7 linked regions of the Macaca mulatta genome follow. The protein of the gene in region 5 interacts with the protein of the main gene of each other region in a biochemical or structural test. Links are inferred from orthologs where the notes say so. Each region holds a gene or a part of one and is shown on either strand. Other genes may lie near its edges. The genes, in order: PKP4, TANC1, SIPA1L1, FRMPD4, DLG4, CTNND2 and KCNA4.

Region 1 (3,500 bases), on a different chromosome or scaffold from region 5:
TCTGGTCTATTTTTCCTGACTAAAAAACTATGGCATAAATTATGAATAACTTGGAAAATTCGTTTTCTTCCATCTACAGAGAAAAGATGATGAGAAGGAGAGGTCTTAGAACACATCCTTATCTGAAGGACAGGATACAGTCTTGTTTTAGGAAACTCCAGCTGCTCTGTTATTGAAAGGGAAGAGGAGCGACCAGATGGTCCAGGTTCACCACGGCACCGGGAAGGACCTGAGACTGACTGCAGGCCCTTCATGAAAGCAAAGCCGGGATGTGTTATAACCGCCAGTCCCACTCTCCCACAGTGAGGTCCATTCCGGCAGGGGCTGAGTCCACTTTGACCACCGACACAAACAGACCTGGCCATGGACTCAGTGTTTTTAAATTGTGGAGCCTGGACAGAGAGGGGTGAGATGGAGAATGAGGTATACACAAAAGAGAACAAGGTGATGAGGGCATGAAGTGTGCTTACCAACCTTCCCTCACCCAGAGGCTGGAAGAGATTTTAAAGCTTAACAGAAAAAGAGTGGGAAAAGGACACCGCTGGGCAAAGGACATGAACTAAAGACTTCTTGGCTGTCCCCATCAGTGGCGTGGTGGTCTCAGCAGTACCGATGTGGATACTTAAGAACGTGAGGCTACCGTGGAAATGCTTTGCTTAAACCACGGGTGAGTTTCCAAGGAGTGAAGATCCCCAGGGAAAGCATCTAGGACCCTGCCGTGTTGGCCCAGCTCTGGGAAGTCAACCGACGTGGACCCCTTACTGTGTTAACTGCTAATCGGCCTTCTGTAAAAATGATATTGCAAATTCACCTGTAGCCGTCTATTTTGTTCTCTTGCTGGTGAGGAATAGGAACTGATGTAAATTGGTGAAGGTTTGCTGGAGCCTGTAAGAAAATATTTTATGAAATTAAAACTAGTGCTTATTACTCTGGTCCATTAGGCTGAGCGGTCTCCCCTGCACTAGGGCTAGTGCTGTCCCCGACAGGGCCTGCCTTCCCCAGTGCCAATGCAGGCTGGGAGAGGTAGCAGCTCAGGGTCTGGATCTGGCCTGGCTGCTGCTTAACTCAGGGCTGGGGGCGGCTAATAGCAAAACTATGGCAAAAACAGGCCGCGTGTGTTTCCCCAAAAAGCAATGCCAGTGCAGAGCCCATGCGCAAAGGTTCCTGCTCAAGCTCTGCTCATACGTGGGAGGGTTTCTCCGGCTGGCTTTGGACAGCAGCACAGGATCCTGAGCTGAGGAACACCCCTTTTCCAGGGCTCCGAGCTACAGCAGTGGGTCAGAGAGGAGAAGCGAAACACAGTATTTGAACAAGCCCCATGCCTTCCAAACAACTGGGATTCAAAATCTCAGGTCAAGGAAGGAGCAGCCGTTGGGCAACAATGGAGGCACAGTCTTGTGCCTGCTATATTTAAGTATGTTTTAATACAAAAGGAACTTGGTAATAATGAGATAATTGTCTTCAAAAGTCCATAGTAGACTCCTGATGATGTTACCCTTCCATTATTGTTAAGGCTAGCAAAGATTTTTATTTTTTTAATGAGGAAAATGAAACGTACTTGAGGCAAATTAGTTTATTGAAGCAAGCGAAGAAGATACAGAAGGGCATGCATGCTAAAGAGGCGATCTGTAAGATAAGGCAGGCTGCTGCAAGTCGGAAGCAACCATGCACTTCAGCTGGTATGTGCATTTCCTTTTGCACAGAGCTTGGTGCTGAAATGTAGCATCTGCAATTTTCTGAGCTATTAATTGCCATAGTAACAACAGTCGATTAGTAAATAGTCCTGTGAAATCACAATTTCAAAGACAACAGTACAACGGAGACTGCTCCCCCAGCAGGAGTAAAGCTGACACTAGCTTTTATTTATTTTTAATAGGTTTGAGAAAAGAGTACTTTTTGTGGGGTAGCTTACACTGACTTATTTGGAACATCTAAAGTAGTTATAATCTGCTGGACGGTTGAGAATGGGAAGAGTATGAAATCTTAGTAACCCTTTGGGCTGGTATCCTTTAAATAAATTGTATGCACAGCTTTCTGAACAGGATATAAAAATATTAACACTATGTAACATTATTTTTGTTATTCTTAAAAAATAATCACTTTGAGAAGAATCACATTATACCTTTTGCTATTTATTCAAACTCTTCTCCATGAAAATGTAAATGAAATTGATCTCCATTCTCTGGTTTGAAGTTAAGAGATGGGCCTGTCTAGAAGACGTAGCCCCTGCAAAGCGACACCGGGCTGAGGGTTCTGATGCATGTGGAAAACACAGAGACTGCTCAAGGCAGGAGGGGACGGAGCAAAGGGACTGTGCCAGTGAGCAGCCAGAAATGATTTATTTGGATACAGCCCTCTTTTTATTTGTGGCCACCGTACAGCTACATACATACATACATACATACATACAAGTACATGCTTGTTTTACTTTAAACAAGCAGAAAAGGCAACAATCCCCAAAGTAGGAAAGGGAATGACTGGAACATGGTTTGCTGCTGGGGGACCGTCTCAATACAAGCACAGGCTACTTCCCAGGCCACTGGCCGAGTGCCTGCAAATGCGGCTTTTCAAGAGACTGTATCACACACCCAACTGGCGTCTTACCAGGGTACAGGCCTTTATGTGTGGCATCCCCTTGGCTATTGTAATACTGCATAGGTGGCTGGGTCCTATCGTATTCAGAGCGAGGGTCTCTGATTCCTAACAGTGCTGGTGAGGAAGAGGTGCTGCCGACTGAAGGGAGAGGCAAAGGAGGAGAGAAAGAGGGGAAGAAAGAGAAATCAGCATCAGTATCTGTGGAAAATCCTCTCCAGAAACACAAAGGTCAGTAACTAGAAATGACACACAGCTGGTGCTGAAAATATCTCAGAGGTGCTGGGAGGTGAAGAGCAGCTAGACCCAAGTACCGCAAGTGCGACCTGCATGCAGGCCCGCCACTGCACAACTCAGCAAAGTCAGCATCGGGGCTCACTCTCAAGCTGGAGGGCAAGCCGCCCGGCTAAAGAGGCACAGTGTAGAGATCATGCAGGTTTCCCCACCAGTGTGTCTCAATGTTTTAACTAGGCCTTTGAAACTGAGTGAGTGATCATAACTTACTAGCCATGCAAGAGTTATACCTGTTATTTTATGATCTCAGTTCAGTTGCTTGCAAAATACCCACCTATTATCCTTTATGTATAGCTCTTCAGTCAACAGAAGTTTTATGGCATGTTTTGATTTCTAATTATTTAAAAAATATCCACATCTCTAAACGTGTTTGAATAAGAGCACCCAGTCTATAAAATTTATAATTCTTTTTATGGTTATCAAGGAAACAATTTAAACCCAGTAAGCCTGGGTCATCAGGAAACACACATGGTGCTAAGTCCTGACCTCAGAAAGGCCCAGAGGATTTTTTTAGCCCAGCTTCAGTCAACATCTAATAATACCGTATCTATCCTTAGGACTCTTTTTGGACACTCTGGCACAGAAGGAAGAGAGAAACATTTCACATACATTTT
Region 2 (3,500 bases), on a different chromosome or scaffold from region 5:
TTGCATGAAATTATTGCTTTACCTTTGGGGTTTTTGGGCCCTGAGTAGTGTTCAGGATTTTGAAAGCATTTATGGGTAAATACTGAATGTGAGTCTGACTTTTGCACAGGTAACATCTGAGAATCTTAGGCATGCCTGAGAGGGCAGAGTGGCCCACGTTTCCTGCTCAGAGGGTCGGGAGCACCTGGGCACATAGCTCAGCCACTGATATCTGCCTGCCTTATTCACTGGCACCTCTGTTGGTGGCTTCGAAAATGCCTCAGAAAGCCGAGATAGCTGGCAGGTGGTGGCTTATGGCCCTGCTGCAACTTTTAGCTCAGCTTAATCGTATTTGAAATTGAGAATTAGCCAAGAGCTGTGGAAGTGCTGAGGCTGCTCTGTTGCAGATTTTGGTGCCGAAGCTCTAGTGACTGGGAATCTGAAAACAGGCCTGTGAAATCTTACCATCTCCTGCATCTGTTTAGATACAATCTAGGGCATTTTTGCAATCCTTTATTTGGAATGTCTTTTGTGGTCACATATTTTTAATCCTTTCAGCTGTTATAAATTTATAAACTGTTATGTTCTAAGGAGTCAGGGGAAGAAGGGACATAGGCAACACGTTTGAAGCTCTAAAGCATCTTTGTATTCTCTAGGGCTGCAGCATTATGTCAGATGTTCATGACTGTTCTGGCTCTGAAATGAGTTATAGATTATGAATATGGCTGCCTGCCCCTTCTACCTGTGCTTTAGTGGGTGCATTTATCATGAGGCGTGTAAGGAGAAGGGTCCCAGGGCTCAGGCAGGAGCCTAGAAATGTTCCAAGCTGTGTTACTACAGGGAGGTAAGAAGGTTGGGGGAAGACAGTGTAGTCCTGTTGGCCCTCCGGGAGGTTTTATACACCCTGCTTACGAAGGACCTAGAGAGAAGCTAGAGGCTGCCCTTGGATTACTATACATTTGATCCATTTAAAAGCCCTGACAAGGAATTAGCCGAGGCTTTCTAATGGGAAAGATTTGTGTGGTAACTGGCAATGTGCACAGAGTATTCACCTAAATGTGTATACACTGTGGATATGCACCAGGAGGATACAGAGGCATCGGTGCATGCTGTCGTGAAGTCAAGGTTTCAGGTGTCTCTTGCTGGCTGGGAGGATGAGTAGGCAGGGCATGTGTTGGATTGCCCGCTGGAGGATGCAGTGAGAGGGGATATGCCAACACAGTCAGGCCTGGAGCCACCCAGGTAGCTGTTGAATGAAGGAGTGAGAGAGGATGATATAGACAGTGAGGAAGAGAAGGACTGAGATCTTAGTGGGGGGAAATAGGAAGGGTGCAGGTAGGATGGATGGCACTGGTCGGCAGCCGGATGCTGGGTCAGAGCCTGTTGGGCAGCCAGAGGGTTTTCCGAAGACAAGTGGCCCAACTTGACTTCTGTCCCCTGCACCTTGGTCCCACTGAAGATGTCCCCAGTCCTAAGAAGCCTTTACCCAGGCACTATGACTCCCTCTAGGCTCTCATTTGCCCTCAAGTCACTGTATATTTTCTTGTCCTGGAAGATAATAATCTGACTAAGATCAACAGTACTTCATGTTGGGCTTAACCCATAAACCAAATTAGGTTAATTTTAGATTTTCCTCAATGTAATAACAGGAGGGGTTTTTAAAAGGCAAAAACGTATACTATATACTTGCTTCTAAGATTTCTTGAGAATTAGCAAAATTATTTTGTGCTAGTTATTTTTGTAATCTAACTTGTATGAATGTTTGAATAGATCTTTAATTTTTTTTTTTTTTTTTTTTTTTTTTTTTTTTTTTTTTTGAGACAGAGTTTTGCTCTATCACCCAGGCTGGAGTGTAGTGGCACGATCCTGGCTCACTGCAACCTCTGCCTCCCGGGTTTAAGCAATTCTCCTGCCTTAGCCTCCCAAGTAGCTGGGATTACAGAGACCCGCCTCCATGCCCAGCTAATTTTTTGTGTGTTTTAGTAGAAATGGGGTTTCACCATGTTGGCCAGGCTGGTCTGGAACTCCTGACCTCAAATGATCCACCCGCCCTAGCCTCCCAAAGTCTTGTGATTACAGACATGAGCCACCGCACCTGGCTTTTTAACGCTTTATAACAAATACTTACATGATATGAGTCTTACGGATTTGGTCAGAGGTAAATGTAACTTATTTTTAGAATTAAAAAAATACACCTATAAAATGCAGTATGATATATAATGTTTATATAAGTCTACACATATTCGAAGCTTAGGAATATGATTGTTCTATTACTACTGAGCCAACTTTTAGAATTGTACACATAGAATCTGCCCATTTAATTAATAAGTTTGGCATTCCAAACAGCGGAAAGCTCCCCAGAGCTGCATAGAAGAATCTAGCAGCATGCCACCTGCTTGTGGTGTAAGTACTGAAGCTTTGCTGTGTGCCACATGATTGTCAGATTTCTTCATCAAACAATTTATGGTGAATTCTGTCTCTTTCCAAGAATAATGGAGAATTCTGGCAACTCAGTCAACATAACTTTAAGAAAAAGAAGCACTTGGTTTTTACCACTTTTCAATGGATACTGCCAGAAAAATAAACTGGGGCAAACAATACCAAAATGACGTTTAGGTAAATTTTGTTGAAAACCTGAACTGAATTGCTTAGTGATTTATAAATTATAGTCACTTAGGTATGAAATTTAAAGTCACCTTTGAAGATCCTAAACTTCAGTTTAATATTACAGCAACAAGCTCAACCAAACTGGAAGATCTGAGTTATTTAGACGGGCAGAGAAATGCTCCTCTACGGACGTCAATTAGATTACCGTGGCACAATACGGCCGGAGGTAGGGCACAGGAAGTTAAAGGTATTTATCCTCACATCCACTGCAATAATGGTTATGATGAACTCAATCAGTGACTTTGAAAGTCTGTGATAACCAGCATTGAAGCCAACTGTGTTTATAACATGATGGAAAGTGTGTGTGTTTGTGCTAAAAGCATATCTGTGAGGTGGGCTAAGAGGTCATCCTCAACGGTTTGGGGCTTCTTCCTTAAAATATGTGATTAACTTGCTTCTGGAATTGAAAAAATAATTCTGCAGTAAGTTATTTTGAAGTGAGGGGTAGTTGAACACTCATTAGGTGCTTATTATTAACAAAGTATAAGCTTTGTTTCAATTCTTGGACTAGGCTGGGCACGGTGGCTCATGCCTGTAATCCCAGCACTTTGAGAGGCCAAGGCGGGTGGATCACCTGAGGTCTGGAGTTCAAGACCAGCCTGGCCAACATGTTGAAACCTCGTCTCTATTAAAAATATAAAAATTAGCTGGGCATGGTGGCAGGTGCCTGTAATCACAGCTACTTGGGAGGCTGAGGTAGGAGAATCACTTGAACCCAAGAGGTGGAGGTTGTAGTGAGCTGAGATCATGCCATTGCACTCCAGCCTGTGCAACAAGAGTGAAACTGTTTCAAAAAAAAAAAAAGAAAAAGAAAAAGACAAAATCCCTTGGACTGTATTGGCGATGTTCTCTGT
Region 3 (3,500 bases), on a different chromosome or scaffold from region 5:
CCCATCTGTTAATCTTCTCTGCAAATTCATTGTTCTGTCCTGTTTTAATGACTGTGCCCGAGTAAATGTACTAACCATGGACATGGCAAGGAGTGGAGATGTATTCCACCAAGACAGGGGTTGAGGAAGAGAAATGGAGTTCCTAGGTTCTGAAGATATGCTTTGTTCCAGTAGCTTCAGTGAGATGTGCCTTGTTATTGAAGCCATCTGTCATTCTCTACTCTTATCCCACCCACCCCCACACAGAAAACCTGAGCATATTCTGATCTGCTTTTCTACTCTTGACAGAATGTTTTAAATCCCATATGTTTTGATACCGTTGAGATGGTAATGACACATGTGAAAAGGATCCCTTCTTCAGCATGACTTTAGCAACTTTTTTTGGCTCCTGGTGCAGGCTTTGAACAAGGCTGCCAGCAAGCCCTTTGTGAGGCGTGCAGTGTCATGCCTGCCACACTCGGGAAGTCACACAGTGTGAGAAGGGATGGAAAGGGTAATTACAAGGTTCTTCCTAGACCCCTGTTCATTCTCTCACACTAACCTCCCTCTGTTCTTTTTTTCCCTGCATCCACTTTACTTTAGTGGCATCCCACTCTTAATAGATAAGACTTAAAAATGAATGTAGGTGAATTTTTAAAACGTATTTGTTTATCTTTTTCATAAGGTATACCTTTTTTAAAAATAAGATACCCCTGAAGTCTGCCAAAGAAGCCTTTCACCACAGTACAAGAGGTCCAAGTGGTGGCCTTTCACCGTTGAAAATCCAACCCTTCAAATAAAATGTTAAAATAATTTTAAAAATAATTTTTGATATCCCAGCATTCCAGAAAAATAACCCAGCCTTTCCTAACTGGCACATCAGACGGAATCAGAAGGCTTAGCTGGTATAAGCCATTCCAGGGAGAAGTCAAGAAAAATAATTGTTGCATTTTTATTACTCAGTACCCAATATTGAGTATATAATGGGCTGACCTTTCTCTACTCAGTTTATAAGAACAGCATTCTCTAATGACTTGCACTGATTGAGAATGTTTACGAGGTTCTTATTGGTTAGGCATCAGTGTATTGTATCAACAGGTACCCTCCTGACAGTGGAGACAGGAGTTTAACTTACTGACTTGGCTCACTTACCCTTATGGCTGTTTGCTTTTCTGCCTCTGCTTTTGGAAATGGTCGAGAGTCAGAGTCAAGGAGTATTTTGCCCTGTCCTCTACGTGTTAGGAAGGGTGTTTCAGAGGCCCAGGATTCTTGCTATTAGCTGTAGTGGTGTTATGGAGGATAAGTTCTTTATCTCTCACTTTTGGAACCCCATCTTGAACGCCAGCTTGGAGTCCCAAAGGAAGCAATTGTTTTAAGTAAACTAGTTGCTGTGTGTCTTTTCTGTTGTGCTCAGCTTACAGTTATAGAGGACCTCAGGATTTCAATTCTTTTGTCCTCGAGCAGCATGAATATACAGGTAAAATATTTCCAAAGTGTCATGGTAAGTAACACGTGATTGCATCCATGCCTGTCTAGGTAATGTAGACCAAGCTAGGTTAGCCACACTTGGCAATGAATGAATTTCATAAATTTAATTCATATAATCCAAATTTTTCCCCCCAAACCAAAAGTTGATTCTGAACTTTGCTGCGTTGTTCATGGCCTTTGGTTTGGTGGTACTTGGCTATGCTAATGTGTATGATGTGACAAGTTGTCACCAGCTGCAAGCTTTATCCATCAGCCACTTAAGTTTCTGACCTGCTGTCTATCATATAGACTCTTAACAAGCTTACTGCTGAAATGCAGAGTTTGCTGGTCAGTGAACTGAAAGATGCAATGGCAAGCCATCTTCATTTGTCACCATGTGCTTGTTTCTGCTTAGTGCCTGCACCATAATGTCCTATGCTGTATTCCAGAGCCAACATGCCATCTCCCAGCAGTATCAAAGGTACTGCCAGCTTTCCGAGAGAGCCCCAGTGGGAGATTAATGCGGCAGGATCCAGTGGTTCATTTGTCTCCAAACAAACAAGGGCATGTAAGTTAACTGTAAACTTTAAAAAATATTAGATTACTAGCAGTGTACCTTCCTTGCACTGTGAAAATGCTCTGCTGTTTTCTCTACATGGCCAAAGAGGAAATCATTCTGGCAAAGGGTGGTCGTTTGCTGCCATGGCCTTGCAGTTTCTGCTGCTATGGCCTTTCGATTGCTTTGAGATAAATTGTAATTCCTCATTGCTGTGCTTCTGCCACACCCACAGGTCTGGTCATCTGATTCAATCACTAACAATCCTGGAATGTTAGGAATGGAAATGTATTAGAAGTGGATTTTTTTTTGCTTACACAATTGCAAGCATGAGATGTGGTTAGAGTGTCAGTCCTGCTCCAGCCATGGGAGGACTCCAGCAGGACTGATGCTCCAACCATATCTTTGACTCTGCTGCAGTAAAGGAGGAATAGGAGACAGACAGCTTCCCCTGTGCCTCCTCTACCGCTTCTCTTATCTTTCATAGCCATACACATTTCATCCTTTTGCTATAGTAATACACACTTCCTTCTCACTTACAGTAAAATTGGGAATATGAGGTTATCATTCTCCAACCCCCCTCTTATTCTTTTTTTTCCTCACTCTTCTTCCCTGATACTGCTAATGGGATGGGACGCCCTCCCCATGCGGTTGATTTCCTTGGTGTGTCTGTTCACTGGAATGTGTATGTTTATATTCACGTCATTCTATAGAATGAGGAAATACTGTATTTCATGCTTACTAGTTCACTATGGAAGATGCCCAGAGAACTTTAAATGAGAGATGCATGTAAGTTTTGCTGTAGAAAAATGAATATTGAGCCAAAAAAAACAAGGGAGAGTGAGCATGCCCTGCACTTTGCTCTGAAGAAAAAGATTTGCTGAGGAAAATCTTTCTTTTTTTTTTTTTTTTTTTATTATGAGATGGAGTCTCGCTCTGTCGCCCAGGCTGGGGTGCGGTGGCGCGAACTCAGCTCACTGCACCCAGCCTACTGAGCAGAATCTTTCTATGAGGAAAATATTTACTGAGACAAGTTGTGACAATGTGATATTGTCACAATTCTACTTGTAAATGATAGATTATCCCAACTGATCTATAAATTTCTCCTCATTAATAATTTTTATACTGATTACATGATAAAATAATATTTTGGACAGGTTGGGCTAGATAAAATATATTATTAAAATTAATTTCACATGTTTCTTTTCTACTTTTTAAAATTTGGCTACTAGAAAATTTAATATTACATGCATAGTTCCCATTATGTTTCTGTAGAAATGTATTATATACTTTACACTCTTGGTACATCTCAATTCAAACCAGCCATGTTAGAAGTACTCAGTAGCCACACATGACTAAGGGTCACCAGATTTCCCAGCACAGGTCTGGAGCTAAAGAAGTTCTGTCCTATTAAGAATAAATGAAGGTTTTATTACAGCACTTAGTAAGTTGTTATTGAGGAAAGCTAGAGTAACACCAATAAAGTAACTGGGATTGA
Region 4 (3,500 bases), on a different chromosome or scaffold from region 5:
AGATTAGTAGGATTTTAGCTTCATTTTACAGATGAGCAAACCGGGCACAGAATAACTTGCCCAAGTCAAATGGCTATTAACGGGGGGGCAGGGGGGATACAGGATTCAAACCCAGGCAGTGGGACTCCCCATTGTCCTATAGATTGTGTGATGGGTTGAGGCACCTGTGTTTGGAAACACATGTAATGCTAAAGCTTTGGACCTCACCCACACCCTGCTTGCAATCTCACCTCCAAAAGATGTATAAACTAATTAAAATCCCACTTTCCAAAGAAGCTTCTCATGGGCTGCCTAGAAAGCCTTTCTAAATTCCACAATGCCAGGTTGACCCACCAGGGGGCAAAATGGCTTTTCTCAATAAATTCATGAGCCTGTGTTGGGAAGGATTAAATCTCTAACTTGCTGACTTTAACACCACTGTTCTGACAACTCTCAGTCACCTGTTGACATGTAGGGAAAAATCCTCATGTGCAATTTGAGAACCTCAGGCCTTCAGTTCACTCCTTCCAAATGCTTTCTCTCTCTCCCCACACATAAGCATGACTGTATCCTGAGAAAGACTCGGCTCACAAAGAGATCTTGTGCTCAGCTGGACACATTCACACCCTCCTCCACTCTCCTTTCTAAAGTTCTTGGGGACAGGTGAAACTGGCTGCCATTTGAAAAGGTGGCCTGCACAACCTGAGATGATTTTCAGACAATTAAAATGCATTTATTTTCCTACTTTCTGTACCCACATTTTACCAGGTTGAACATTGTACAGTCAAAAACGTCTCAGAGATATCCGGCTTGAGTAAAAATCCTGAAAAGTCTATAATAATGTTCTCATTCATAAATTCCTTTGACCAACAAATATTCATTGAGCATTTTATATAGCACTCACATTAGGACAGTAGAAAATACTAATATGTATGAATTCTATTCCTGGCCATTGAGGAACTTGTGCTCTGATTGTAAAAACAAGATAAAAAGACAAGAAAAGTAATTATTTAAAACAATGATACAAGTAGGATTACAAGATAGCCCATAAGTAGTGCCAAATGATGGCTAAAGACAATAAGTACAAGTTGAGAAGGAAGAAAACATAATCATGAAATATACCATTCTTAACTAGTGAAGAATATGAATGGTCAAGTGGTGGAGGTAGGTTGTCTGCCTACCCTTCTTTGGAGAGGACCTGGAACAGGAGAAGTAACTGGAATCCTCTTGAAGGTCTTCACATAATTTAGAAGACACTGGTTAGACACATAACCTAGGGTAGGATTTCTATTCCAGGATAGATTTCCTAGAATTCAAAATATGGGACCTTCTAAGAAAGGAGTTGTAGTCATTTCTGGGGAAATTGGCTCTTTGTAAAAATGTATTAACTCAGCCCCATTTGTTGTCATTTTGTTGTACATCCATACCCATGAATGATGCCAGCATCTCCAGATCAATACCGGGCACACTTAAGAGTCATGAATCACACCCAATTCCACACCACCAGCAAGAAATGTTGATGGAAGGAGTTAGACATGAACTGGCTAGGACAAAAGAATTGTGTGTGCCTAGAGAAATAGCCATGGAGGAGGGGAGGGACAGGGAAGAATGGTTTGGGGACATGAAGGACTTGCATCCATTCTTCTAAGAGAAGAGAGAAAGAATGTGAGCAGACAGGGAGACTGGAGAATAGAAATCAACAAAGGGATGGAGAGAAATTGGTGTTGGAAATACAAACTCGGATACGTCAGTGACTTTGAAGAGATTCAGAAGTTGGTTGGACAAAATGTCTCTTCACTTTACATTGGCTCCAAATGCCTCCTTAGCATTGTCTCTATAGAGTGAGGAATAGATTTCTTTTTAAATGCAAACATACGTATTAATGATCAAGTAGTGTGTGTCCTGAGTGCAAACTAAAAGTTACTTCCTTAATTGGGGACTTGTCTCCATTCTCTGCCTTACCAAGGGTTCATTTGTTCCAACAAACATCAGAGCACCATTTTGTCTTAGATAACTCATCATCACAAGAATGTGAAATTAAAGATATGCTCTTTATTGCAGAAAAGAATGGGGATTAGAGACTTTTCTTCCCTCTGCTGTGCTGCAAAGCATGAAAGAGAAGAACATAAAGAAAGCACTTTCACACCTTGTCAAAGCAAATCAAAACTTGGTACCACCGGGTAAAAAGGTATCACATTTGCATCTTAATAGAAAATTATAAAGAAAGAGACTTGAATGCATTTTTTTAAATGTTTAAAATTAGCTCATGAATAAAATACTTAGTACCATATTTTCAGAAGCAGTAACACTGTGTAACTTTTTTCTAACTATTAACATATTTCTAACACTAATGAAAAATAAGTATTCATACAGAAACCTATTTATTTCTCACAAGTTATGGACTCCGTACTGTAGGGGGGAGGTGTGTGTTCATGTGCCCATCCAGGAAAAGTTTGCATAGCCTCTGAGAACTTGTGAATAGAAGATAGAATTGTGAAATAATTCTATGTTTCAATCATGCAATTGCTTACTGCTCAGACCAGCTTAAATGCACAACAGCCAGCAAGAGGCCCTGCAGGCCAGAGATCACATTCATTAAACCAGGGATCCTCAACTGTGGCATAATTGACATTTGAGAACAGATCATCCTTTGTTAGGGAGTTACGGGGAACATCCTGTGTATTGTGGGATATTTAGCAGCATCCCTGGTCTCTACCCACAAGATGCTGGTAGCACCCTCCCATGATCGTGACAAACAAAAATGTCTCCAGACATTGCCAAATGTGCTCCAGGGAACAAAATCACCCCTATTGACAAACATTGGATTCAAACCTACCTTTAGAGGGAAGATAAAATTATTGCTGTCATTCACCATCATTAGTGTTAAAATCTTTTTATGCTTTTGTTTTGTTTTCATTAAGTAAAAGAAACACAAAGGAAATTTTAAAATATACTGTTGGTCAGAAAAGAGAGGTATAGTTTATAGGTAATAAAAAGCAAAAGATTCTAGGAACCAGAAAGAGAAGGAGCCTTAAAATACTGGATCTATAAAATTGGACGCAGTCTTCTAACTGAAGAACACTTTCCAATTGATATTAGCTGGAGAAATTTGTGTGACTCTAATACAAATCACTGTTTACATGGAGAATTATTTTGTCTTAGTGTCTGATTTTTTTAAGTCGTTTTTACTGGGTAAGGCACATTTATTTCTATCCCCTCCACACCCCATGACGGTTTTTTTTGTTTGTTTTGTTTGTTTGTTTGTTTTTTAAGTATAATCAGGTTCACCACACTATCAGCCACCTTTAACTCACTTCTCAATTTCATGGGAAGGGTGTCTTTGATCACAGTTGAGCATTCAGCTTACAGAGATGTAGCAAGACAATGCGGGTCAAGTTCTTAACTTCAGTTCTGATTTGCTGGAAGCTGATTTCTCTAATTGACTTGTGATTTTTCTTCCAAGCCTGGCCCACTCATAATAATTTGGATAACTGCTATAAGATCAATCAATCTATCCATTT
Region 5 (3,989 bases):
AAGCATGGGGTGGAGGTCTCAAGACAAGGCCTCACCTGGGGAACAAGAGAAGCCCCAATTTTCAGAAGAGAGGGGGAGTTGATTGAGAAGTGTAAGATTGTTACTTGAGAATAATCTTGAGGGTATGAAGGCAGGGTAAGGGAGAATGGTGATACACTCTCTGGGGAATCAGAAATTGAGATGGAGTAGCTGGGTGCGGTGGCATGTGCCTGTAGCTACACAGGAGGCTGAGGTGGGAGGACTGCTTGAGCCCAGGAGTTCAAGGCAGCAGTGAGCTATGATCACACCACTGCGCTCCAGCCTGGGTGACGCAGCGAGACTCTGTCTCGGGAAAAAAAGAAAAAAAGAAATTGCGATGGAGGATGAGGCCACGACATTGGTAAGGGATGGGGCTGGAGGGTGTGATAGGGCCAGGGAAGCGGATGGAGAATGGAGGCTGGAGGCTAGGGTTGGAAGATGGATGTTGAAGGGCGAGACAGGGATGGAGATGGAGCGTGTGGGATGCGGGCAGAGACAGGGATGGGAAGCAAATGAATGTCGTAGTGGATGAAGGTGGGTGTGCTGGGAAGGAGGTTCCAGGATAGGGATGGGATGGGGATTGAGGATAGGCTATGGGATGGAGGATGAACACGTGGATGAGATTTTGGCAGTCAGTGGCTGTTGGTTGGACAACAGCATTTGCTGAGATGTGAAGGGTTGGAGGGTGGTGTTAATCGATTTATGGGTGTGAAACCTGTGATACAGCTTGAAAATGGTTGGTAGTTTGTAGGCTTGGGAAATAGCACTAGGAGAGGGGAGGGACCCCTTTGGACGGGGAGAGCGGGAAGGAGACTGGGGAATCCTTGGGCTTGGGCTACTGCAAATACATGTTTCTTTAAGGAGGAAGTAGGTTGGGGACCCCGGAAGGAGGCTCTTGGCGGCCTCCCCCCATTGCCATAGAGACGTGGCTTCGGTTGCCCTGGCAATTGGGGAAGCCCCTAGGACCAGCCTAAAGCTGGCCCCGCCTGGGAGTCTAGAGACCAGGCGATTGACGTCAGGGACCTGGGCACGCCCCACTTTAACCCCTTCCCGAATGAAGTTGGGGGAGGGAATAGATGAGCGGGATAGGACCCGGATGTCTTTCACCACTCCCCCTTCCTGACGTCCTTTGCACTGCGTAGGGTGAGGGGCGTAGGGGAGCGAGGAAGGCAGGTTATTCAGAATGCGCTGCGCCCACAAACCTCTTCAGGCCGGCCTCCTCTCGGCCTGGCTAACGCTGGGCGGGGCCCAGGGCAGAAGAGGCGGGGCTAGCGGAAACCTTCTGCGCTCAGGAGTTTGGTCGGCCTCAGGCCACGCCCCACCCCCCTGTTGTCCTGACGACGGGGCCTCCTGGAGGTGGGTCTCCCCGGGTCTTGGCTGGTCCTAGATACCGTTGCTAGGCAACACGGTCCCTAGAGGAAGGGGTGGATTGGACGTCTGGTTGGTGAGACCAAGGGAGGGGTCTGCAGCTGGGGGAACCCCGGATTCCCGGGGTGCAGGGTTTAGGGCAAATGTGTGTGAAGGTGAGGGACAAGTCTAGGGGAGGATTATGATAATATCCGGGTAGTTATGGGGGGATTGGGGGGGGATGGGGCAGGAAGTGGGTACCAGGACCCGGTGGACATGATCCCTGGGTTGTCCATGTGTAGCACATAAGGCATGTAACACCCTGTGGTGTTACATCCGGTGAGAAGCTCCCTTCCCCCAAGCCTACCCCCCTCTCCCCACTCTTTGCCATCTGCTGCTCCCCTCTCCGTCTGGCTGTCTCCCTTCCCGCTTCTCCTACACCTCCTTCCACATGCAGGGGGCCCCGGGCTGGGCAGAGTTAGATCCATGTGCTTGTGCATCTGTGCGTGTGTGTGTGCGTGCGCATGTGCACGCGTGTGCGTGTGTGTGTGATGTGGAGTGAGACTGGGCCCTTGAGCAGCTCTCAGCGTGGCAGAGTGGGCTTGGCTAAGAGGCTGAAAGGGTAGCCACGCTGATGGGACCCTCCGTTACGGGCTCCCTCTCGAGTCAAGGCTCAGGTGGCTTTTTGTCTCTTGTTTCCCCAAACAGGCCAATTCTCCCCCTGTGATTGTCAACACAGATACCCTAGAAGCCCCAGGATATGTGAGTTGTTTAGATTTTGGGGCTAGGGCCATTGCAGAAGGAAGGAGGGAGTAAGGGAGGGAAGCAGATGACGGGCAGGTTGTGAGGCAGGAATGTCTGTCTCACTGCTTTTGTGTTTCTGTCCCGTGCTGGAGTTGCAGGTGAACGGGACCGAGGGGGAGATGGAATACGAGGAAATCACATTGGAAAGGGTGAGCAGGCTCCTCCATTGGCAGTCCCCTTGGCCCCCCATCTGTACCTTTCTTTCTGCCCATGTGGTCTGCGTGGCCAGCCCCTCACCCTATCCCTTCCTGCTCTGGCTGCTCCAAGACATTTCCCACCCCACTTGCCTTGCCAGACTTGGGCAGTGAGGGGAGCTGACCCTCTTCCCCTCCTTCGCCCAGGGTAACTCAGGTCTGGGCTTCAGCATCGCAGGTGGCACTGACAACCCACACATCGGTGACGACCCGTCCATTTTCATCACCAAGATCATTCCTGGTGGGGCTGCGGCCCAGGATGGCCGCCTCAGGTGAGGAGAGGATACAGGGGTTAGGATGCTTGGTCCCTGGAGAGGGAGGGCCAGGGCAGCAGGAAGCTCTTGGCTCAGGCCCACCTTGCTGCTCCCAGGGTCAACGACAGCATCCTGTTTGTAAATGAAGTGGACGTGCGCGAGGTGACCCACTCGGCAGCGGTGGAGGCCCTCAAAGAGGCAGGCTCCATCGTTCGCCTCTATGTCATGCGCCGGAAGCCCCCAGCTGAGAAGGTCATGGAGATCAAGCTCATCAAGGGGCCTAAAGGTAGTAACTCATTTTGTTCCCCCATCCCAACTGTCCTGTGCCCCCAAGCCTGCTTCCTGGGCACCTGGGCACCCACCTCTGGCCTCCCCTCCATCCAGGTCTTGGCTTCAGCATCGCAGGGGGCGTAGGGAACCAGCACATCCCAGGAGATAATAGCATCTATGTAACAAAGATCATCGAAGGGGGTGCTGCCCACAAGGATGGGAGGTTGCAGATTGGAGACAAGATCCTGGCGGTGAGGACCCCATCTAGTCCATTTTCTAGCCCAAATCTGGGTCTCACCTACTAGCCCTGGCAGGCGCAAGTTCATCACTTCATCCCAGTCCATCTGTCTTGGGCCATTTGTGGCTTTGTCTGAGCTTTGCTTTCCTTGACTCCAGGTCAACAGTGTGGGGCTAGAGGATGTCATGCATGAAGATGCTGTGGCAGCCCTGAAGAACACGTATGATGTTGTCTACCTAAAGGTGGCCAAGCCCAGCAATGCCTACCTGAGTGACAGCTATGCTCCCCCAGACATCACAACCTGTGAGAGCCCTTCAAACGCCAAAGCTCCCCATGACCCATCCCGTTTAACCCATGACATGCAGTCCCATGACATCCCTGTAGCTGTCCCTCTTCAGATATTCCCAATGAAATAGCCACAACCGAGACGGGCGGATCACGAGGTCAGGAGATCGAGACCATCCTGGCTAACACGGTGAAACCCCGTCTCTACTAAAAAATACAAAAAACTAGCCGGGCGAGGTGGCGGGCACCTATAGTCCCAGTTACTCGGGAGGCTGAGGCAGGAGAATGGCGTAAACCCGGGAGGCGGAGCTTGCAGTGAGCTGAGATCCGGCCACTGCACTCCAGCCCGGGCGACAGAGCCAGACTCCGTCTCAAAAAAAAAAAAAAAAAAAAAAAAAAAAAAAAAAAGAAATAGCCACAACCTCTGATCCTTGCTGTTGTCAGAGAAGAGATGGAAAATCAATTACCATAAAAGAACTAGAAAAGATCGTCAATGATCTCTCCCATGGAAGGCACAAAACCTGTTTGGTTTTATGGCTAATTTTATGAAATTCTCAAGGAATAGATAATTCTTCTGCT
Region 6 (4,279 bases), on a different chromosome or scaffold from region 5:
TTTGCAGGTGAGACCAAGCCTGTGTGTGCATGTCCACACCGGGGTAGCAGGAATAAAAGCGAACATTTGTATTGTTGTCAATAGTCTATGCTTAATCTGCTCCTCCTAGCAATTATTTGTTACCTATTTAACCTCTGTATGACTTTTCTCCTTTACTCTTCCATTTATATTTCAACTTACTCCCAAGTATAATAAAGAATAGACTTGAATATTCAAATCATTTAAGTTTGTTGGATAATCTCTTCCAACACAAAATAGAAGCACAATGTCACTGAGAATCATAAGCACCAAATCCCTCTTATTACAATTTCCTGCATTCTGTCATGCTTATTTGCGTTTCAGAAACAAGCTCTGCGGAGGGGTGGGGTGGAGGAGATCGCAACCTCAGACAGTCTGCGGTGTTCAGGGTCATGCCTGTGGCATAATTAGGAGGAACATTCGCCCTGGCCCCTGGGCAGGCTGTGCTCTGCTTGGCTTGGCTTGTGAATGCAGCACGAGTGAGCCCCCTCCTGACTCCTGAGTCAGAGGGACAGGGTCGAAGGCCCAGAGGTCTTCCTTGGCACATGATTTGGGTTTCGTTTTTCAACAAGACTTTGAATACGGTGATTCTACTTGCTGTATTTCACAGCAGGATACGCAAGAAGTCCCGATGGGGTCAAGGAGCAGTCAAGCCAGGAGGTGATATGGAAAACCGATCTGAACTTGAAGAAGGCAATGCGAGATGCATTGGAAAACTGTGGGGAAGGATTAGGGGAGTGGTTCACTTTTGCCCAGGAAAGAAGGAAGAAAAGGAGGAAGAGAAGGTGGCAGAGGTGCAGCAGAAGAGGCCAAGAGAGGAGGACAAGGTGGCACAAGAGGGGGAGGAGAGAGAACTTAATCTGTTCAAGTTTCAAACTGAGCAAGGGTCTTTCTTGCAGGAAGTTTGCAGGCATTCCAGATTCAAATCTGAAGTGATTTTGCCTAAGGAGAAACTTTCACTACCCTCCAAAAACATGCCATCTGAACAGGGAAGGTGATGGCAAGATTGGGCAGGTGCTGTGGAGAAGACCTCTCTGCTGGACGTCGTGCCTTTTTAGCTCTGCAATCACAGGATCTGCAAGAGCATCCACCTGCGCCCAGCAGCACTTTCTGCCGGCCTCCCTTCCCCAACCCACCTAGCCACTGTAGGACCCCTCGCACCCCTGGCCCTTTGTTACAGGCTGACATCTGCCCCAGCAGAGTCAACTGTCAGCGCCTTGCACGTGAATGAGGAAAGCGGTGTTAACCTGGGGTTCCATCCCTTCCCAGGTCCCTTCCAGCTTTCGCCTAGCTCCGGAGCATCCAACCATCTCAGGTCCAGGGCGTGCGTTCCCAAGGATGCTCGGCCCTCTCCCAACCCGCGGCCTCCTCCCCTCTCTCCCGCGGCTGCCGCTGCTGCCGCGAAAACCAGGAGAACTGGAATGCGCGCGGCGAAGCGCCGCTCTCGCGGCGGCACTGGGCATGCTCCGCACCCGGGGCCGGTTTCGGCGGCGGGGCGGACGCTCCCTTACTAGCCGGGCGCCCGGGCCGGCCGCCGAGGCTTAGGTGGAGGCTGAGGCTGCCGCGCGCCGCGGGAGGAGCCTCGCCCTCGGCGGCGGCGGCGGCACAGGTGGCGCGGGCCGCGCGCGGGGCGCAGCTCGGGAGCGCTCGGCGCCTGGCGCCGCGGCGGCCCCAGGCTCGCGCCCGCAGCTACAGCCGGCCGAGCGGAGCGGCGGGCGCGGCGGCTACTCTCTCAGCCCGGCCGGCTGGCGGCGGCGCCCGGAGTCCCAAGGAGCCCGCAGGAGCCCGCGGAGCCCGCGGAGCCGGGCAGGGGGCGCTGCGCTCGCCGCGCTCGGAGGGGCCGCCGGGCCGGGCGCCGCGCACTAGCGTCGGGAGCCGCCTCTCGCCCGCGGCGCTCGCCCCTGCCACCCGCCAGCATCCCTTGTCCCGCGGCCGCGCTCAGACAACAAAAGCGGAAGATGCTGCAGTTGGGCAAGGTCAGGACCTTGCCCTGAAGCCGGGCGGCGCCGCGTACGCCTCTCCCCGGACTGAGGAGCTGTCGCCGGCGGCGGGTGCATGTTTGCGAGGAAGCCGCCGGGCGCCGCGCCGTTGGGTGAGTTGCGGGGCTGGGCGGCCGGGGCCGGGCAGAGCCTCTTCCCGGCGCCGTCCTCCTCCTCCTGCCGCCGGTGGGGGTGGTCCTGGGCTCCCGGCCGGCGGGCGGGCGGCGGCGGCTGCTGCGGGGGTCCTGCCTGCCTCGGGAAGGACCGCTATCGTGCCAGGTCCCCCTCGGAAGCCGCTGTGCCTGGAAGGGGGTCTGGGGTTAGTGCCTTTCTTGGAGCTGTTACCAAGTGGCTGCCCTGCGTGCTCCCCCTCCCTGCCACCCATCTCCCCGGGAGGAAGCGTATTTAGGGCAACACCGACAATGCTGCTCCCTGCCACCCAGAGAACATACCCGGTGCATTCATGACGTCCCTAATATACGGGAGGAGACGGGGTGGGGGTGGGGAGGACTTCCCTCCAGTCTTTTGCCCTTATGTTCAATGTCATTACGATGTTTGGCTAGAACAAAATGGAAAGACTTAGTCATATGCGTCCATGGCCATGTCTTCAGGCTCCCGCGGCTTGCCAGACCCAGAGCCCCCTTGGTCTATATTTAGCGGCTTCCGAGCAAGCCTTTGCTGCCGGCTTCACAGGTTTCGGGGGCTTCTGCTTGCTGACAATAGACAGCCAGGCTCTGGAAAGCGCTGCCTGAAAGCCAGGTTTGGAAGGCTGTGCGTGTGTATGGGAGATAAGCGATGCGAAATTGGGGTGATCCGTAATTAATGGCTGAAAGCGAAGCTGCTTTTTTCTTTTTTCCCGACCCTCATCTTATTCTGGTGTGTAATGTGTTTTCTTCGATTGCCACTCGGCAGGTTTGAGCCTCTACGTTCAGAATTAAGTCACTAGAAAGGTGATGCAGCCTTCCTGGTGTGTGTGGTAGGAAAACAGACTTGGGAATTTTTGGGGTGTGTGTTTGTGTGTGTATGTGTCACAAAGAACAGTTACTTCCAGAATGCCCAAAGTTGTATTTTGCTGTAACCGTGGGGGTATGAAGGGTGTGGGAGATGAGAGCGAGCGGGGCAGGTTGTGGTTCCAAGGTGTTTTTTTCTTTTCTTGTGTGCCTCATTTGAGCTGCTGTGGTTCGCCTTAGCTCTGGAAGGTGTTATTAAGATGTATTTTTACTGTGCTCAAGCAAATACGTTTATTTAGAAAACAGAGAATGTTATAAGCATAGTATTAGGCCTGACAGGTGTAAATTTTCACTTTTAAGAACTATGTGACCAATATTTAAGAGGCTTGGGATTTTCTGCAGTGACTTCCATGAAAATAGGGAGGTGATGAAACTCCCTGGGAGTTATCTCATTGTGCATACTTCATCAGGGGCTGAAGCTACCGAGGGGAGTCCAGCTCGTCTCAGCTGCTGGTCGTTCACCTACATAATGACAGGGCTTCGGGGCTGCACCACTTCTAAAATCCCATGGAGAAGTGTTTGCTGTGACTCATATCAAGTTATGGCGGTGAACCTGTGCATTATTTTGGGGATTTGTGCTACGAGAAGTGTGACATATAGGGGCGAGTATCCTCAAATATGAACTAGATGCTTTAAACTGCCCTCAGCTGTCTTTTATTAACATATCGTTGCCATACGCAGAATCTGTTCCTACTGTTGTTGGGGGAAAATGTTAAGTGGTATCGTTAGTGATCTGTGGGTTACAAGGGCTCAGGGCTTGAAGGAAGACGATTACATTCCAAGTTAAGTGTTGAAATTTGGGAGGCCTTTGATTATACTCATCACAAGTCAGTGTTGCAGAAGGACTGGCAAGGTCTATATGGCTCAAGTTAATTGAATACTGTGATTAGTTTTTAGCAATATTGCCTTAGTTTCACCTTATTCACATTCAGGGAACTTTCCGAGAGCACTTTGAACACACCGTTGTGCCCGTTGCATTGTTTTAATATAAAATTTCTTTCAAAAAAGAAGCAGTAGATGAAGTAGCATACATTTCTCATTTCCTTTTCTTTTTTCGTTTTGAGCCTAGTGTTTCAGTCTTAAACATGATTCTTAAAGGACTAGTTAGTATTGCTCTTTGCCTGTGTGTGCACCCAGAGCGGCCGATGGGCATGAGAAAAACTACATGTACTGTATATGTGGGTTTTATGTTATATTGTGGATTGCAAATGATATTACCTGATTGAATGGCAATTGTAGTAAGTACATGAGGTTGTTGCTCTAATAAAATTG
Region 7 (3,985 bases), on a different chromosome or scaffold from region 5:
CACTAACTAAAGTAGGGGAAGATGGGACATGAGGACATACAGTACATCCTGAGACTCACCAGTGGCCGTCGTTAAGTTGGCACTGCCTGGCTCCCTACCGCATGTCCCCATTGTTTTTCTGTTCCCCTGAATCCTGAACACTCTCTACCACCCACAGGCTAGGAACTAATGCCAGTTTCCACATCTCTAATAACCATCTTCTCTCTTTGGCGGTCGCTCCATGTTCACCTCAATGGTTCCTCCTCCACTCTGCTCAAGGTGCTATCTCTTATTTTTTAAAATGTCAGTTTGTGTGAACTTCATTCTTAGCCTATCATACTTACCCCCACTTCAATAAAATCCACATCCCTAACATCCCTCGTCCTCTCTCTCTCTCTCTCTCTCTCTGCCCACTTTTATTTACAATCTCCCACTTCCGAATTGCATGTCCCTTGCAGTTCCAATCTGCTCCCTCTGTCACCTGTTATTCCTGGCCCTTCTTCTTCCTTAGTTTGCTCTCCCAAGATCCAGGTAATTCATCTCCTCAGCCAGGTCCTATAAAAGCCCCCATCCAAATCTCCCGTCTCCTCTTGATTTTTCCATGTACTCTGTTCAACAGGACTTCCAAGAATGCAGGGAGTAACCCAGAGAACTGGAGAGAATGATGATAGTCAGAATTCAGGGCATCTACCAGCTTCTATTACTGGAAGCACTTGGAAAGCATAAGAGAAATGGCTTTCTGAAGCCATTAACAGGATTCAGCTCTTGACCACCTGCTGCTCCTTGCTGATCCTGTCAGCCTAGCAGCCTAAACACACTAAATTTTATGAAGTGACAAGCATGGAAGTGGCAAACAGAGGTCTTCCCAATCATACACCCCTTCCCAATCATACACATTTTCCTAGGGCAAGGAGGGCATTTGATTGCAACACAAACTCCAGAAAATACACCACTGAGGGCCTCTCACATGCCATCTCCCTTCTTTGCCTTACTCCTAACATCATCTCATACTCTGAAATGTTTACCCCCAAGGAGTTACTAAATCCCTACTTACAAAACCATCCTGGGGTGACATTCACCGTGGAGTGTCAGGCCAACATCCTTTCAAGACTGGTACAGACCAAATAGCCTGAGAGTTTGCTCAGTTTCTTCCCCAACTCCCCCAAAACAATTATAATTTCAATGAAGCCCCAGTGTAACCCAAGTTCCTGTATAGTTGAGTACTACACACACCTGCCCTCCCACCCAACTGACTCCCAGAAGGTCATAAATTAGAGAGTCTTCTAATTCACCATCAGCTCTTCGGGAGTTCTAGAACTGCCCTCTTTCTGCTCTACACCAAATAATTTCACATTTATTTATTTATTTATTTGGGATTATTTGTCTTTGTTTATCTAACTCCCTCCTCCACCCTACAAGTAGCAAATTGCCTTCCTTTTAATCATCTACTAGTTATTTCACTATCCCTGATCTAGAAAAGGAGAGAGAAAGAAAAAGAAGAGAAAAGAAAAATCATTCCTCCCAGCAAATCAGACTGGTTTAAAATCTCTCTTCTTTCTCAGGGTACTCTTGTTAGTAGAATCTATTCAAGCCAATTTCCAGGAGCCTTTATGATATAGATCTTTGCAGAGGAATTTGTCTTCTTCTTTAACACCATTAAACTAATAGGATTTTGCAGACTACCTATTCCCCAATCCCGGCGCCCCCAAACAACAGCCAAGCATCCCACCCCTCCTCCTCTCACCCCTCCAACAACAAGGCTGTTCGTCTCTCAGTGCTAATTCCTGCAACTGTGTCAGTGTCAGGGTGGTACCCGAACCTTAGAGAGAGAGATAGAGAGAGAGAGAGAGAGAGAGAGAGAGAGAGAGAAGAAAAATTGAGAGAGGGAATCAGAGAAGCCAATACCGTGAGAAATATACACTTCAACGCACGCCATTTATGCAGCCCCTATGTATGTTGCTCAAATGCTCGGAAAATGCACGCAAATCCAAACGTTGGGAGAGGCAGCAATTCAGACTCGTTCACCGGCTGTTAACCGGTGCGGCTGGAAGGAGGTGAAACGATGCTAAATCTTAACCCCCCTCTCGTTGGGAAACGACATCTTTAATCGCGCCGTCGCCTCCAGACCTCGGTTCCCGCTCCAGCACGTTAAGCAGGGCGCACTCACCGCATCCCCGGGGTTGGGAAAATAACAACTGTTGGCCCCCTGGAGCGCCGCGCAGCATCCGCACCTCCCTTCTCCCACCTCCTGGTTTATTTTTAACCGCCTTCCATTCATGCCCTTCTGTCACATTCCCGATATTATTTATCCCTCAAATGTCCACTGTTTCTTAACAGCCAAAAGAAGAAGGTGGAGGAAATATTTAAAAAAAAAAAAAAAAAAAAAAAAAAAGGTATCATACTTACCGTTCCCCGGCGGGGCGAAAAATAAAAATAAAGAAAATCCACCGGCTGGCTTGTTTTTCCCCCTCAAGCTGCAACAGCTGGAGGAGGGGAAGAATGATCTTGGGTGAGGGGGGTGGTAAAAGGAATCACTCGGGTTTGGCAGGTGGAGGGTCCAAATATCCACGGAACAAGTTCTGTTGCCTGGCCCGGGGGGTGCACAGGGTTCTCGCGGCTGGAGTCTGGGGGTGGGGGTCGGGGCTGCCCCAGAGAAGACCCCAAGGCTCCTGGTTCCTCTGGAGTTCAGCACAGGAGGGATTGCCTGGGAAAGGAAGTCAAGGTTCCTCCGAAAAGAAACAAAATCCTAGACAGCAGCGATCACTTGTTAAGCCCGAATTCCTCCTCCAACATCCATCCCTCTCTGGCTCTCGCTGGCTGCGGGAGCAGCACACGCCTCCCCTGGCCGCGAACGCGCGCCGGGCGGGGGCGGGGCCAGGGCCGAGCCGAGGGTGTGGCGTTCGCGACGGTCGCCAGGGGCGCCTCCTGGCGCGGCGGGGCGGGCGCAGTCACGACGCCGCGACTCCCCGCACCCCGGCTGGGCCCCCCGACTCCCAGGATCTGGGATCAATTCCAGGAGTCTTTGGCTCTGGTCCCCAGAGGCGAGGAGCAAATCCTGGAGAAGTGTCCCCGTTGGGGCCGGAATAGGGGTTTCGACGGCAGCGCGGGAGTCCCCAGAGGGCTTGGGAGCGGGGAGCTCCAATGGGAGGTGCAGTCCCGAAAATGGGGTCCTTTGGGACATCTCCTCTCCCTAACTTGCTTTCTCTATATCTCCCCTCTAGCCCCGTCTTCTTTTCCCCACCCCACCCCCTCCCAAAGCGGGTTTGTTGGGTTGGGAAGCGGGTGCATCTCCGGCGAGGCCGCTGGCGGGGAGCCCTCCTGTGCCTGCCAGCGCGTGCAGATCCCTCAGTCTCCGCCTCCCTTGTACACAGTAGTTGAGCGGCTTCAGCGCCGGGGTTGGGCCTCCGGGGCGCGGAGGAGACCGACTTTCAACCTGTGTTCAACCCCGGGCAGGGGAATGTTACAGAAATTGGAATCAGGCCCAAGCTAGGGGCTGCGCGCGGGAGGCAGCAGTCCTAGGGGAGGAGGGTTGGAGAGATGAGTAAGTCGCGGGGTGGGCCAGGGGCTGGGGGCTTTGGAAGGCGGGGGAAGAGCACGCAGCCAACCTGTTGCTGCAAAAAGAAATACGCCTCTGGTACCGACTCCCTGAGGGCTCTTTGGATCCTTCGGGATAGAAATCAAGGGAGATCGCAGCAAAATACAAGTTTTTTGATTTTTCTTTCTTTCTTTTAATTAAAGCTTGTGCGCACAAGGGAGCTAACACCAAGAAAAAAAAAAAAAAAAAAAAAAAAAAGTGGGCTGTTCCTCGAAGTCAGGGTGTGGGTTTCTTTTACGGGCCTCTGCCGTAAGGGGAAATAAGGGGAACTATAGGCAGGGCATGTAGAGGTGGAGTTTTTCTGGTGCATGCATAGTGGTTTAACATGCTTCTTCATAGGACGTATGTATCATTAGCATCTTAAATCTCCACGTCTGGGCGTTATTGTTTGCATTAAATTAAGGAAAAGGT

What was found.
Region 1: the proteins of DLG4 (region 5) and PKP4 interact in a test that uses a peptide from one of them, tested with the Homo sapiens proteins (2 studies listed by IntAct, with this or other methods). The link is inferred for Macaca mulatta from reciprocal best matches to the Homo sapiens genes DLG4 and PKP4.
Region 2: the proteins of DLG4 (region 5) and TANC1 interact in a test that uses a peptide from one of them, tested with the Homo sapiens proteins (2 studies listed by IntAct, with this or other methods). The link is inferred for Macaca mulatta from reciprocal best matches to the Homo sapiens genes DLG4 and TANC1.
Region 3: the proteins of DLG4 (region 5) and SIPA1L1 form a complex in vitro, tested with the Homo sapiens proteins (2 studies listed by BioGRID and IntAct, with this or other methods). The link is inferred for Macaca mulatta from reciprocal best matches to the Homo sapiens genes DLG4 and SIPA1L1.
Region 4: the proteins of DLG4 (region 5) and FRMPD4 interact in a biophysical measurement, tested with the Homo sapiens proteins (2 studies listed by IntAct, with this or other methods). The link is inferred for Macaca mulatta from reciprocal best matches to the Homo sapiens genes DLG4 and FRMPD4.
Region 6: the proteins of DLG4 (region 5) and CTNND2 interact in a test that uses a peptide from one of them, tested with the Homo sapiens proteins (2 studies listed by IntAct, with this or other methods). The link is inferred for Macaca mulatta from reciprocal best matches to the Homo sapiens genes DLG4 and CTNND2.
Region 7: the proteins of DLG4 (region 5) and KCNA4 form a complex in vitro, tested with the Homo sapiens proteins (8 studies listed by BioGRID and IntAct, with this or other methods). The link is inferred for Macaca mulatta from reciprocal best matches to the Homo sapiens genes DLG4 and KCNA4.

What each region holds. Positions count from the first base shown.
Region 1 is NC_133417.1:63,540,984-63,544,483, reverse strand, and holds part of PKP4 (plakophilin-4), read right to left. Parts: intron 2,734-3,500; coding exon 2,605-2,733; intron 886-2,604; coding exon 812-885; intron 1-811. UniProt on the Homo sapiens protein: Plays a role as a regulator of Rho activity during cytokinesis. May play a role in junctional plaques.
Region 2 is NC_133417.1:63,990,937-63,994,436, forward strand, and holds part of TANC1 (protein TANC1), read left to right. Parts: intron 1-2,710; coding exon 2,711-2,833; intron 2,834-3,500. UniProt on the Homo sapiens protein: May be a scaffold component in the postsynaptic density.
Region 3 is NC_133412.1:144,854,760-144,858,259, forward strand, and holds part of SIPA1L1 (signal-induced proliferation-associated 1-like protein 1), read left to right. Parts: intron 1-1,393; coding exon 1,394-1,456; intron 1,457-1,895; coding exon 1,896-2,014; intron 2,015-3,500.
Region 4 is NC_133426.1:12,330,068-12,333,567, forward strand, and holds part of FRMPD4 (FERM and PDZ domain-containing protein 4), read left to right. Parts: intron 1-2,040; coding exon 2,041-2,167; intron 2,168-3,500. UniProt on the Homo sapiens protein: Positive regulator of dendritic spine morphogenesis and density. Required for the maintenance of excitatory synaptic transmission. Binds phosphatidylinositol 4,5-bisphosphate.
Region 5 is NC_133421.1:8,688,422-8,692,410, reverse strand, and holds the start of DLG4 (disks large homolog 4), read left to right. Parts: upstream 1-1,189; 5' UTR 1,190-1,374; intron 1,375-1,399; exon of another isoform or gene 1,400-1,529; coding exon of another isoform or gene 1,530-1,541; intron 1,542-2,073; coding exon of another isoform or gene 2,074-2,127; intron 2,128-2,258; 5' UTR 2,259-2,261; coding exon of another isoform or gene 2,262-2,288; coding exon 2,289-2,318; intron 2,319-2,510; coding exon 2,511-2,635; intron 2,636-2,733; coding exon 2,734-2,903; intron 2,904-3,001; coding exon 3,002-3,138; intron 3,139-3,283; coding exon 3,284-3,428; intron 3,429-3,989. UniProt on the Homo sapiens protein: Postsynaptic scaffolding protein that plays a critical role in synaptogenesis and synaptic plasticity by providing a platform for the postsynaptic clustering of crucial synaptic proteins.
Region 6 is NC_133411.1:13,057,473-13,061,751, reverse strand, and holds the start of CTNND2 (catenin delta-2), read left to right. Parts: upstream 1-1,479; 5' UTR 1,480-2,073; coding exon 2,074-2,110; intron 2,111-4,279. UniProt on the Homo sapiens protein: Has a critical role in neuronal development, particularly in the formation and/or maintenance of dendritic spines and synapses. Involved in the regulation of Wnt signaling.
Region 7 is NC_133419.1:35,232,790-35,236,774, reverse strand, and holds the start of KCNA4 (potassium voltage-gated channel subfamily A member 4), read right to left. Parts: upstream 2,801-3,985; 5' UTR 2,386-2,800; intron 1-2,385. UniProt on the Homo sapiens protein: Voltage-gated potassium channel that mediates transmembrane potassium transport in excitable membranes. Forms tetrameric potassium-selective channels through which potassium ions pass in accordance with their electrochemical gradient.